Rhinolophus ferrumequinum: one gene and its partners. The protein of the gene in region 1 interacts with the protein of each later gene in a pairwise test. Links are inferred from orthologs where the notes say so. Each region holds a gene or a part of one and is shown in the gene's direction. Other genes may lie near its edges.

Region 1 (3,746 bases):
TAGCCAGCCCACAATTCACTCATTCAACAAACATCCATTGAGTTCTCTATGTACCTGGCAGTCAGCATCCTAGGATTAGGTGGGGATACTGCAGTGAACAAGACACAAGTTCTCTGCCCTTATGGGACTTACAGACAAAAACAAAAGAAAACGAAACAAAACACAGGGTGAGATGATGCTGCAAAGGATGCCGGGAGGAAAGGTGGGCAGTGAGACTGAGGACGCTGGGCCATGGTGAGCCTAAGCTGAGGTCAGATAGGGAAGGTAGGGAACAGACCACAGGGGGCCATGCAGGTGGATGTAGAGTTTTTATGTCATACTTAAGGCAGCGGGGATCCATTGAAGGCGTTTAAATAGGGAATGAAGTAGTTTGATTTACGTTATTAAATGATCACTCAGCAACTGTTTTATGGCATAAAATGTCCAGCCTGAAGTCAGAAGATGACCGTGCATTCTGCAAATTCAATGTTAGATCATTGCCAAAGCTCTAACATGTCTCATCTTGTTTCCCTAATAGATAAATTGGTTAAAATAAAGCTCTGTAGCTTAGCCAGTGGGAGCCAAAGGCTGGAGTCATGCTTTGGTTTCAAATTCTGCTTCCCATTTAATAGTTAATGAGCTCTTGGCAGGTTATTTACTTCTGCCTTAGTTATTTCAGCTGTGAAATGGGGATAATAAGTGGCTCCATCATAGGTTTTTGTGAAGATTAGTAACAATACACGTAAAGCATGGTGATGGTGCATGGCACAATGTAGTAAGCATTCATAAATATTACCTTTTATTACTTCTTTCAGAGGATTACTGTGAAGACGACATGAGAAAATGCATGTGAAAGGGTTTGTGAAACCGAACAGACTATCCTAACGGCAGAATTCTCTTTCTTTTCCTTGCCTTTTAAGCGGAACACAGAACATTGGGCTATCTGAGGAGAGAGGCACGAGGCCAAGCCAAACCTCAAAGCGGTCATTGTCGTTAGGCAGCCCCTCCCCCACCCGGAGCGCATCTCCATGGCAACGTGGGGCTTCGCCTCTCCCCGCCTCCTGGGGCCCGCAGACCGGAAGCAGCCCGCGCAGGGGGCTTCTGGGAAACTGCTTGTGAGCGGCGTTTCTGCGTCTGCCCTGGACAGCGAAGCTGCTAAGGTTCCTGAGCCGGAGGTTTGCGCCAGACTGAGGTAAAACCGTGACGGGGACGCTGGGCTAGGGGTTGCGGGCTGCTTGGCAGCAGCCAGCGAAGAAACCTGGCAGGTACCTTCCTCGGGTCCCCGGGAGGTGCGGCGCACAGGCCACGGTCTCGGCGCCCAGCAGTTGCGGGGCGTGAAGGGGCAGACGAAAGGCCAGCTCGGGCTTTGGGCACCCTCGGAGAGTTCTCCATCCTGTGTCCTCCGCGACCCTCGCCTTCCCCCTCCCCCATCTGCCGGTTTTGTTCTATTTCGAGGCGCTGGCGTCTCGCGGAGAGTTCTGGGACTCGTTTCGGGAGGAGGTGGGAGAGGGCGGGCCCTGCGCGGGAGCTGCCGGAACTTGTAGTTCCCCGGGCTGCGGACGGAAGTGCAGTGTCCCCGACGTTGTTGTGGCAGGGTGGCCTTTGGTCATCTGAAATACTCCGCCGCTACTGCGGAGAAGAGAGTTCGGGGGACGTCGGGGCGGGGACAGAGTTCGCAGCGGAACTCTGCAGGAGTGAGGTGGGGAGATGTGGAACGAGGCTGCCCACCCAAACACTGTCAGGACCGCGGGCCTGCCCTCCCGGCACCTCCTTCCCGTCCTTTGATCAGAGTGCGGGATAAGAACATAGAAGAGATTTCTTTCATATAGAATGCTTGAGCCATTGCGAAGGTAGCGTTCTGGAATAGGAAGGAACGAATCTGTTGGCTGAATCCTATTTGTAAGGCCACATTCCAGAGTAACCTTGTATGTGATACCTGCCTGATAAGATCTTTTCTGATCCCTGGTCTTCATCTGGATAGGATTACAGTTAAGTTTTTTTGAAATTAGTGGTTTTCACATTCTGGGCCCTGAACAGATAAATTGAGTAGCTGCATGTCTCATTCTTAATATGTGTTGTAAACAGTGCCACTGGCATGACTGTGCAAATAACTAAGGGAAGCATCAGAAGTAGCACAAGGTTTTCCCTGAAGGTAGAAGCTGGGAAAACTGTGAGTCATCTAGTATAAGGACAAGATTCAGGTCCACTGTAAGAAGTTACGGTGGTTGTGAGAGTCTCTTTTCTACGTAGAATTTGTGGTCATTAATGCCTGTAATGATAAGTTTAAATGTAGTTAAGGTGTGGGTGACTATAATATTTGCATTGTATGGCTCCGGGAGGCTAATTTTTTCCAACATTATGTTATCTTTTCCTGAGCAAGTGAATACTTTTTCACATATATTTTAAGTCTAGGGAGTTCTTAAACATTTAAAAATATCTTTCCACTTTAAAAAACACATTTGGTCTTAAAAATGTTTTCCTTAAGCAGATAATAAAAAAGTGTCCTTGTTTTTGAGTTGACCTAAGGTTGGCTGGGAACGCCAGTCTTGAATTGCAAATAAGGTGTTCCAGGGTCGAATGCATTTAGAAAACTCTGAGGTGGGCTGGTTCTTAACTTGGATTCTTTTGGTTATTGAAATAAGGTTTATTGCTTTTGTAGGTCAAACTTTAAAGGGCCAGATAGTAAATATTAGGTTTTTTAGGCCAGATAGTCTCTGTTACAACTACACAACTCTGCCACTGTGGTGTGAATTGTGAACAAATAAATAAAATTATTTGTGGACATTTTAATTTCATATTTTCACATGTCATGAAGTATTCTTTTGATTTTGTTTTCAACCATGTAAAAATGAGAAAACTATTCTTAATACAAGCATTGTACAAAAACAGGCAGCAGGCCAGATTTGGCCATGGGCTGTAGTTTGCCAACTTCTGGTGTAGGTTATTGATTGGAATTTTTAAACCAGTAAAAGAAGAAATATTTTTACTTCCTTTATTAGCATGTATCCAAATTCTTAGGATATTTGGTCATTTATAAATATATGTTTTTGTACCTCAGGAGAGACTGTGAAGAAAAGGAGTTATTTCCCAGAAGCCTGTATCCTGCCTTATCTTTTTTTGAAGTGTTATAAATCAGGATGTCTGCACAGTCAGTGGAAGAAGATTCAATACTTATCATCCCAACACCGGATGAAGATGAAAAAATTCTGAGAGTGAAGTTGGAGGAGGATCCTGATGGCGAAGAGGGATCAAGTATCCCCTGGAACCATCTCCCTGACCCAGAGGTTTTTCGACAGCGATTCAGGCAGTTTGGATACCAGGATTCGCCAGGGCCCCGTGAAGCTGTTAGCCAGCTTCGAGAACTTTGCCGTCTGTGGCTCAGGCCAGAGACCCACACAAAAGAACAAATCCTGGAGCTGGTGGTGCTGGAGCAATTTGTTGCCATCTTGCCCAAGGAGCTGCAGACTTGGGTTCGAGAGCATCATCCAGAGAATGGAGAGGAGGCAGTGACGGTGCTGGAGGACTTAGAGAGTGAACTAGATGACCCTGGACAGCCGGTGAGCCTGCTTGTGTCACTTTTCCTGGGTGAGAAGCACTCACATAGCAGTGGGCAAGGCTGCTTGAAACAACTCCGCTCAACTACAGTATATGTTTTGTATGGTTTCTCTTATGTGTGTTTAGCTCTAATTTTCATAAAATTCCTCATCAACTGAATCAAATCTTGTTATTTCCAGGTTTCCCTCCGTCGACGAAAACGGGAAGTGCTA
Region 2 (3,746 bases), on another chromosome or scaffold:
GATGAGCTGGGCGAGGCCCTCCACACCGGCCCCGGCCTCCTCCCAGGAGAGAAGACCTTCGAGTGCAGGGCGTGCAACAAAGTCTTCGTGAAGAGCTCCGACCTGCTCAAGCACTTGCGCACGCACACCGGGGAGCGGCCCTACGAGTGCGGGCAGTGCGGCAAGGCCTTCAGCCAGACATCGCACCTGACGCAGCACCAGCGCATCCACAGCGGTGAGACGCCCTACGCGTGCACGGCCTGCGGCAAGGCCTTCCGGCACAGCTCTTCGCTTGTGAGACACCAGCGCATCCACACGGCTGAGAAGGCCTTCCGTTGCGGCGAGTGTGGCAAGGCCTTCAGCCACGGCTCCAACCTCAGCCAGCACCGCAAGATCCATGCGGGCGGGCGGCCCTATGCCTGCGCGCGGTGCGGCCGCCGCTTCTGCCGCAACTCGCACCTGATTCAGCACGAGCGCACGCACACAGGCGAGAAGCCGTATGCCTGCGCGCTCTGTGGGGCCGCCTTCAGCCAGGGCTCCTCACTCTTTAAGCACCAGCGCGTGCACACGGGCGAGAAGCCCTTCACTTGCGCGCAGTGCGGCCGCGCCTTCAGCCACAGCTCCAACCTCACGCAGCATCAGCTGTTGCACACGGGAGAGCGGCCCTTCCGCTGCGGGGACTGCGGCAAGGCCTTCGCCAAGGGTGCCGTGCTGCTCAGCCACCGGCGCATCCACACAGGTGAGAAGCCGTTCGTGTGCGCACAGTGCGGCCGCGCCTTCCGCGAGCGCCCGGCTCTCTTCCACCACCAGAGGATCCACACGGGCGAGAAACCCATGCGGAGGCTCAGGGCCACGGCCGGCCTGAGCTCCCAGGCCAAGCCTCCGGAGGCACCCTCAGCTGGCACGCCTGGGAGGGAAGCCAGGCCCACTTCCAGCTCAGGCCCAGCCACCGTGCCGAAGCCAGCTGAGGCCTGAGGTCCCAGCTCCCCTGTTTCCGATCTCTCCTGAGTCCTTTCCACAGCTAACGGGCCGTGTCCTTTGAAAATCCACACTCTGGAGAAGCTCTGTGCGCACTCTGCAATTCCATCTGTATGTGGTGACAGGATTTGCCACTTCAGCCACAGCTGACTCCATCCCCAAGAGGTCAGGCTGCGGAAAGGTCAGGAGGAGGGAGATGGAGGCTGGGACTTTGGTGAGGCTGAAACATTGCAGAGCCAGTGGCAGGACAGCAGGGCGGCGCCACTGCTCTCATGTCGTGACTGAACACTAAGAGGAGGGCAGTGCCGGGATGGAGTGGAGGCAGGCCGAGAAATTTTTTACACATTCAGGATATTACCCCCAGGTCTGGATTCATCCAAGGCTTCCTGGGAGCTGGCCCAGTGGACGAGAGGTCATGTGGGGGGTTGGGTGCTGGCCCTGGGTAAATGGCTGGGCTCTGAGCCTCAGCTTCCTCCTCTGGGGGAAAGAAAGAGAAAAAAGGGATTTCATCCTACAGAGGGTATTTGCCATACCCTGACAGACAGGCTCTTGATAAGGCCAACATGTGCCAAGTGCCAGCCCCTGTGAGGTGGCTGCTGTGGCTGGTATCCCCACTTCTCGTAGGAGGAAACTGAGGCACAGAGGCACAGAGAAGGGGTGTGAATTGCACACAGTACAGCCAGGCCTGGCATCCAGACAACTTACCACTGCACACCTACGCTCTAATCAGCTCGCTGTGAGGGCTGAGTGAGGCCTGGCCTGGCTCCCTGAGCATGGCTGACCCATAGGAGGTGGAGGTCCGCAGGGGAAAGACAGATGGAGAATGATGGCTCCCTAACCACAGTCGTTCCAATTCTCATCCAAGCCTCAGCATTTCCATGTCCTATTACCAAAGTCAACTTGATAGGAGCCTTTACACCCCACTGTCCTGACAGGAGGTGACTGAAGTGACAGGTTCAGAGGACACAAGATAGGGCTGCTCATTTCTGCAGGGCCCAGGGGCCACATGCCTACCTGTTCTCTGCCCATATGAGGTGCCCTCCTGAGATCCCCGCTCAGTGTGACACCTCCACACAGCGGGAACACTGAGGTAGACAGGTGCGTGGGTGCCCAGTTTACTTCCTGTGGCCCTTAGCAGACTGAGGCCCATTTTGACTTTGGCCTCATGTCTAGGGAAGTTAATGGTCTTTTTACTGGGAAAAAAAAGACGAAGTTACAACTTGGAACGGGCATATATTGTAAATTCTTGCACAGCGCTGTGGAATTCCACAGCTTCAGCCTCCCTTCCCACCCGAGTCCAGAGAGGCTCCCTGATAAAGGTTTCTTTTTAAAAACGTGTGAATGGTAACAGCCTGATTTCACCCTAGCACAGTGCAGACGTGCCCTCAGGGCATATCATTGTCACAGAGCTGTGGGGACTTGGCTTCAACCTGGGTCCCTTTGAGAAGCCACAGGGAAGAGATGCAGCCTGTCTGTGGCCCTGAGGGGTTGGGATACCTGTGTCCCCTTGGCAGCCAGAGGTGGGTGAGGGGCCGCAGGAGACCTGGGTAGGTCTAGTAGGAGTTGGGCCTTTGTGGATTCAAGCTGTGGAATCTGAGTCAGGGGCCATCACAACCAAGACCTCACAGCCATCTGCCATACAGAGTGAGCACAGACATGATCTCCCTACTCCCCCACCTTCCAGCAGGACCTATCTTCCCCAGGAACCTCACAAGTTCCTACAAGGAGGGCAGACTTGGAGGTATGGAGAGGAGTCATGCAGGACCCAGCTCCCCAAGACCCTTCAAGGGCAGGTCCTCCGAGCCAGGCCTCCTGGTACCCTGTGGGCCCTTGAGCCATAGTCCGCCCTTCCTGGACTCATCCTCTCTGCTCTGCTCTGGTCGACACCCTCACCTTTCCGCAGGCTGTCTTCCATGGGGCAGCCTTGAACATGTCACATCCACCTCAGTCTGCACAGCTGTGTAATGCAGACACCCTCACCCTGCTGAGGACTTTTCTGGGGACCCATAGGATTCAGGAACAAAAACATCTGTCAAACTGCAAGTGGGTACCCAGAATCACATGCAACCTTTTCTGCACTTGGGACACACATGGGAGCCCAGTTTCCACCCTGAGCCCTCCAGACCACTCATGCTGGGCCTGATGCCCTTTCCTGTCTACTGACCAGCCGCCTCCTGTTTTCCTTGAGCTCCTCTTGGGTAAGGCCCTGGTTCTCTGTTCTTCCACCAATCCACCCCTCCCAATATCCAGGACTGGTCAGTGGCCTCCACCCTGTTCCTGTGGGAACAGCAACCATAAGCACCTTCCTTCACCCATGTCTTGAGCACCCAACTTCCCCCTAAGTTACTTTCCCCCAAACCTCTGTGGTATGTTGGGCCCTGTACTGCCAGACTGGCTGTTCTTAACCCTGAACAAGCTGTGAGTGTAAGTGTCCCTGGGCTTTCTGGGTCAAGATGGTGAACTGAATACATGCTTCTCACTTGGTTCAGAAGCCCACTGAAACCAGAGTTTAAAACACATCCTGTGGGTTGATGAGGAGAATGGTGAAAGAGGAGGCAGTTACAATGGTATTTTGAACCCAGGTGGGGATGCAAGAGCTGTTACTGACTTATGGCAATTCAGATAATGAGTTGCTACTGGACGAAGTAGACGGAAGTACCACCAGCCTTATGCTGCAGAACTTCAGAAAGCTTGAAAATCAGCCACCTCCCGGGAGGGGAGACCTAAAATATGACGGGTGGGAGAATACTGGAGAAAGCTGTAAGAGCTTCAGCTCTATCTACATGGTG
Region 3 (3,746 bases), on another chromosome or scaffold:
TTAATAATAATTTCTGAATGTGATCATTTTCAAGGAACTCTGATGAGGCCCAAGGGACCCAAAGTTTTTCTCTAACAGAGAGCAGACTATTGGCCTCATCTTCTCCCCTTCTGCATTTCTGCCTCTTCCTAGAATTTCTCCCTGAGGTTGGAGGGGAAACCTGAACTTCAAAATCAAGTCTGGCTTCTTCCCTTTCCCTGACCCGAGGCAAAATAGTCTCTTGATCATTGCTCTTGATCATTGGAAAGGCACTTTCTCTGTGCAGAGTATTACTGGCACTTTATAGGGGGCCGGTTTAACCGCAGGAGTCCGATTTTTAAAAGATGCTGAGGGAGGGAATTCTGCTGCCAGCAGATGGAAAGGAGACTCAGAACAGCTTGGTCCCTCCCAACCACCCTCCCTCCGGGATTAGCTGCCCTGACACTGCTCTGGCGTACCCAGCCCGTGTGGTCCCTGCTCGCACAGTTCCAGCCGCCTGTCTAGAGCGCGCACGCAGTCACAAGCCCGCAGCCAGCAGAGCCGCGCTGTCCCGGGCATCCCCGCGCACCGCGTCGGCGGACCTGGGACCTCGAACCCCGGACGCGCGCGAAAGCCATTCGGAACGCTTGCATTTCTGTATGTGCTTATTTCACATTCTTGTCTTTTCTTTCTTCCCTGAGCGGCCCGCTTGTTACTTTCAGTCTTAGTTAGCCAAAAGGGAAACGCCGAAGAGGGGAAGCCCTGAGAATTGATTTAGAGGCAACCCAGCCGCCTCTCCAAGGAGAGGTGTTCACTGAGCGACTCTCCCCGTCCCCGACGCGGGCCCCTTTAAGAAGCCAAGTCTGTCCTGCTGCTGCTGCTACTGTTTGTATTGCAAATCCCCAGGAGCCCCGTTTAAAAAAAAAAAAAAGGAAGAAAAAAAGGGAGGGGGGGGACCGGGCAGCTGTCTCTTTAAATGTGATTTCCTTCTATTGTATTTGAATCGTGATCAGGAAAAAGGAAATGAAACCAGAGACAGAGGGAAGCTGAGCGAAAATAGACCTTCCCGAGAGAGGAGGGAGCCGGGGAGAGAGGCAAGGTCCCCTCCCCGCCCCCAGGCCGCCGCCCCCTCCTTGCCCTCTGCGGCGAGCTGCGCGCCGCGACCCGGGCTGAAGGTGCGAGGGGCGAGGGGCGGCCGGGCGGGCGCGCACCATCCCCGCGGGCGGCGCGTCGCCGGGGACAGCGCGCGAGCCGAGCCGAGCCGAGCTGGACCGGGTGGCGGCGGCGGGACCGGGATGGAAGGTTAAGTCCTGAGCAGCAGCTGCTGCTGCTGCTGCTGCAGCCGCCCCGGGCCAGGCTGCGCGCCCGGTTCCCCGCCTCGGCCGCGGCGCGCCGGCAGCTCGGTGATTCGCTCTCTCTCTTTGGCGTTTGAAGGGAGCGCGGTGACTGTCCTTGATCGCGGAGGGGCGAGCTCGCCGCCAGAGCGCCAGAGCAAGAGGAGGTGCAAGAGCGGCGGCGGCGGCGGCGCCCGAGCACCGGAGGGGGTCCGAGCCCCGGCAGCCGGCCAGCCCTGCGCCACAAAGGGAGCGCCTCCGCCGCCTGGCACGCCACCTCCCTCCCCAATGTCCTCGGCCATCGAGAGGAAGAGCTTGGACCCGTCTGAGTAAGTGTGGCGCTCCTGCCCCTGCCACCCACCGCGTCCACGGCCTCGCGCCCCGGGGCAGCAGGGTGGCGCCGGCGGCCAGCTAGAAGGCTCCAGGTGCGCGCCCGCAGCGTGCCCTTGGCTCACTCCGCCTTGCGCGGGGCTCCCCCTGGCTTGCGGGTGACTCCAGGGGCACTGGGAGAGTGGCTCGGCGGCAGGCGGCAGGGAGAGGAGGTCAGCCCGGCGCCTCTGTGGGCCCCTCTGGGCTACCTGGAACACTCCCAAAAGCCGCCGCGGGCCAGAAAGTTTACAGGGGAGCAGGCACAGCGGGGAGCTCGGAGGCGCGTAGGTGCCGTCCCGAGAGCGTTCAGGGCTTGATTCTTCCCCTTTTTCCCCACGAAGCTTGTTCTCAGCCCCCTTTCTCTTTGTCCATCTGGTCTTGGACAGGGGGACATTCCAAGTGGATTCACCCTGAGTCCCCACCGGCCCCCTTCCCGGCCCGCTGGTTGAGCAGTCGCCAGCACAGTCAAAGACGGGCGGATGAGGGCTGCGAGCGTCCACCTCGGAGCTCGCTTTGGCCTGCAGAGACTTTAGAGCAGCTAAATCCGGAGTTAATCTGGGTGCATGTCCCCCCTCCCCTCGGAGTCCACCGATGGGGTCCTTGTAAACCTCGAAAGTTAGTGCACATTTTGTGTATAGGTGAATTTTTCTGGGGAGCCGAGTCTTACATCTTTTATCACAGTCTACAAGGAGTCAGGGAGCCAGAGCTCTAACGACCGCTTGCCGCATTTGTTTCCTGAGCCTCTTACTGGTTTGAAGTGTTTCCCTATTCCCAACCTATCTACCTCCAGCTCATTCCTTGGTGTTAACAGGGGGAGAAAGGGTTGTTTAAGATATTTTCCCGTCAGCACAAATGCCCTTTTAAGATTCATTAGCTGTCTGGTTTTGAGAAATTTTATTCCTTTGAAGTCCCCCATCTAATCCTTTGAAGGGATTTGTTACACAGACCAAAGGAGCTGGTTAATGACTTGTCCATTTGTGCTTTTAAGAGGCATTTGTTTTGTTTTGTTTTCTTTTCTTTTCCTGCTTTAAAAGAATTGTGCTTTCCTGATTGAAGTTCTCCCCTCCCCCGCCCCCACTCCAGTTTCAGCCTTCTGTGGTGTTTATATACCTGGGTTTTACCCTCAGTTACCAGCATAAAAGCTCAGCGTGTTCTCATAAAACACAGGAAGTACCATGATCCAATGAGAATATAAACATCACTCTTCAATCTTGAAGGTTCAGACACCATTTCTATAAGGAGCTAGGTTTGTTCTAACAAAACCCAGCTTCCTTAAGTTCTCAGGAGAAAAATTATATATATATGCACAGACACTGGGTTTAAAGGGTGGTTTTCTCACTTTTTTTTTTTACAAACCTAGAATTACAACTTAGCTCTGGAGTTTTCAGAGCCTGAGCAAGACCACAGTAACGCAGTAAGTGAATTGGATGAATTGGTGCCTAATGCCTTTTCAAATAGCAGAACTTAGTCACTAATCTTTTTATTAGAAGATAAATCTGGAGGTTTTGGTGCCCTAAAGGAAGTTTGCTCTTTTCAAAGTTTGTGCTTTTCCACTAATATTAGAAAATGGAAACACCCTAACCTCATAGCACAACAGGCACACACTGAAGGGAGCTCATCTATTCCATCCTATGTGTCACTATTTGCCCAGTGAAGGCAGGTGCTGATGGAAGGTAGTTTTAAGAATTACTGCAGCACATTTTTTTCCCCTCACTCAGAAATTGTCGAGAAATTATCCCAGAAATCCAGGCTGACATGTATTTCAGGTATAATGTATAGGCTCTAGAAGAATATAAAATATTAATTTGAGGGTGAATCCCACTCGGTTATTGGCTTGGAACATCCACCAAAGATAATGTGATATTATCGTTAATTACAGAAAGACAGATAGAGCCAATATCTTAACCTGTTCTTTCCTGTCTCAGGCCATCACAGTAGCTTTTGCTTAACTTCTCTGCTGTGGAACCCTATCCTACCAGATGCTTTGTTGTGTACTCACTCAAAGCCCACTTGGGTTAGTGCGATCCACATCTCCAAATGACAGATAAAAACTTGCCTAGGCATATGCAAATGAAACATTTAGAC

What was found.
Region 2: the proteins of ZNF24 (region 1) and ZNF446 interact in binary tests that used the Homo sapiens proteins (3 or more experiments, as listed by UniProt). The link is inferred for Rhinolophus ferrumequinum from reciprocal best matches to the Homo sapiens genes ZNF24 and ZNF446.
Region 3: the proteins of ZNF24 (region 1) and LMO2 interact in binary tests that used the Homo sapiens proteins (3 or more experiments, as listed by UniProt). The two-hybrid records come from large-scale screens. The link is inferred for Rhinolophus ferrumequinum from reciprocal best matches to the Homo sapiens genes ZNF24 and LMO2.

What each region holds. Positions count from the first base shown.
Region 1 is NC_046302.1:29,354,458-29,358,203, reverse strand, and holds the start of ZNF24 (zinc finger protein 24), read left to right. Parts: upstream 1-1,022; 5' UTR 1,023-1,171; intron 1,172-3,037; 5' UTR 3,038-3,116; coding exon 3,117-3,536; intron 3,537-3,713; coding exon 3,714-3,746. UniProt on the Homo sapiens protein: Transcription factor required for myelination of differentiated oligodendrocytes. Required for the conversion of oligodendrocytes from the premyelinating to the myelinating state.
Region 2 is NC_046298.1:50,937,324-50,941,069, forward strand, and holds the start of ZNF446 (zinc finger protein 446), read left to right. Parts: upstream 1-1,539; 5' UTR 1,540-3,746. Other genes in the region: zinc finger protein 324A, read left to right, coding at 1-954. UniProt on the Homo sapiens protein: May be involved in transcriptional regulation.
Region 3 is NC_046294.1:23,930,889-23,934,634, forward strand, and holds the start of LMO2 (rhombotin-2), read left to right. Parts: upstream 1-975; 5' UTR 976-1,253; coding exon 1,254-1,260; intron 1,261-1,392; coding exon 1,393-1,621; intron 1,622-3,746. UniProt on the Homo sapiens protein: Acts with TAL1/SCL to regulate red blood cell development. Also acts with LDB1 to maintain erythroid precursors in an immature state.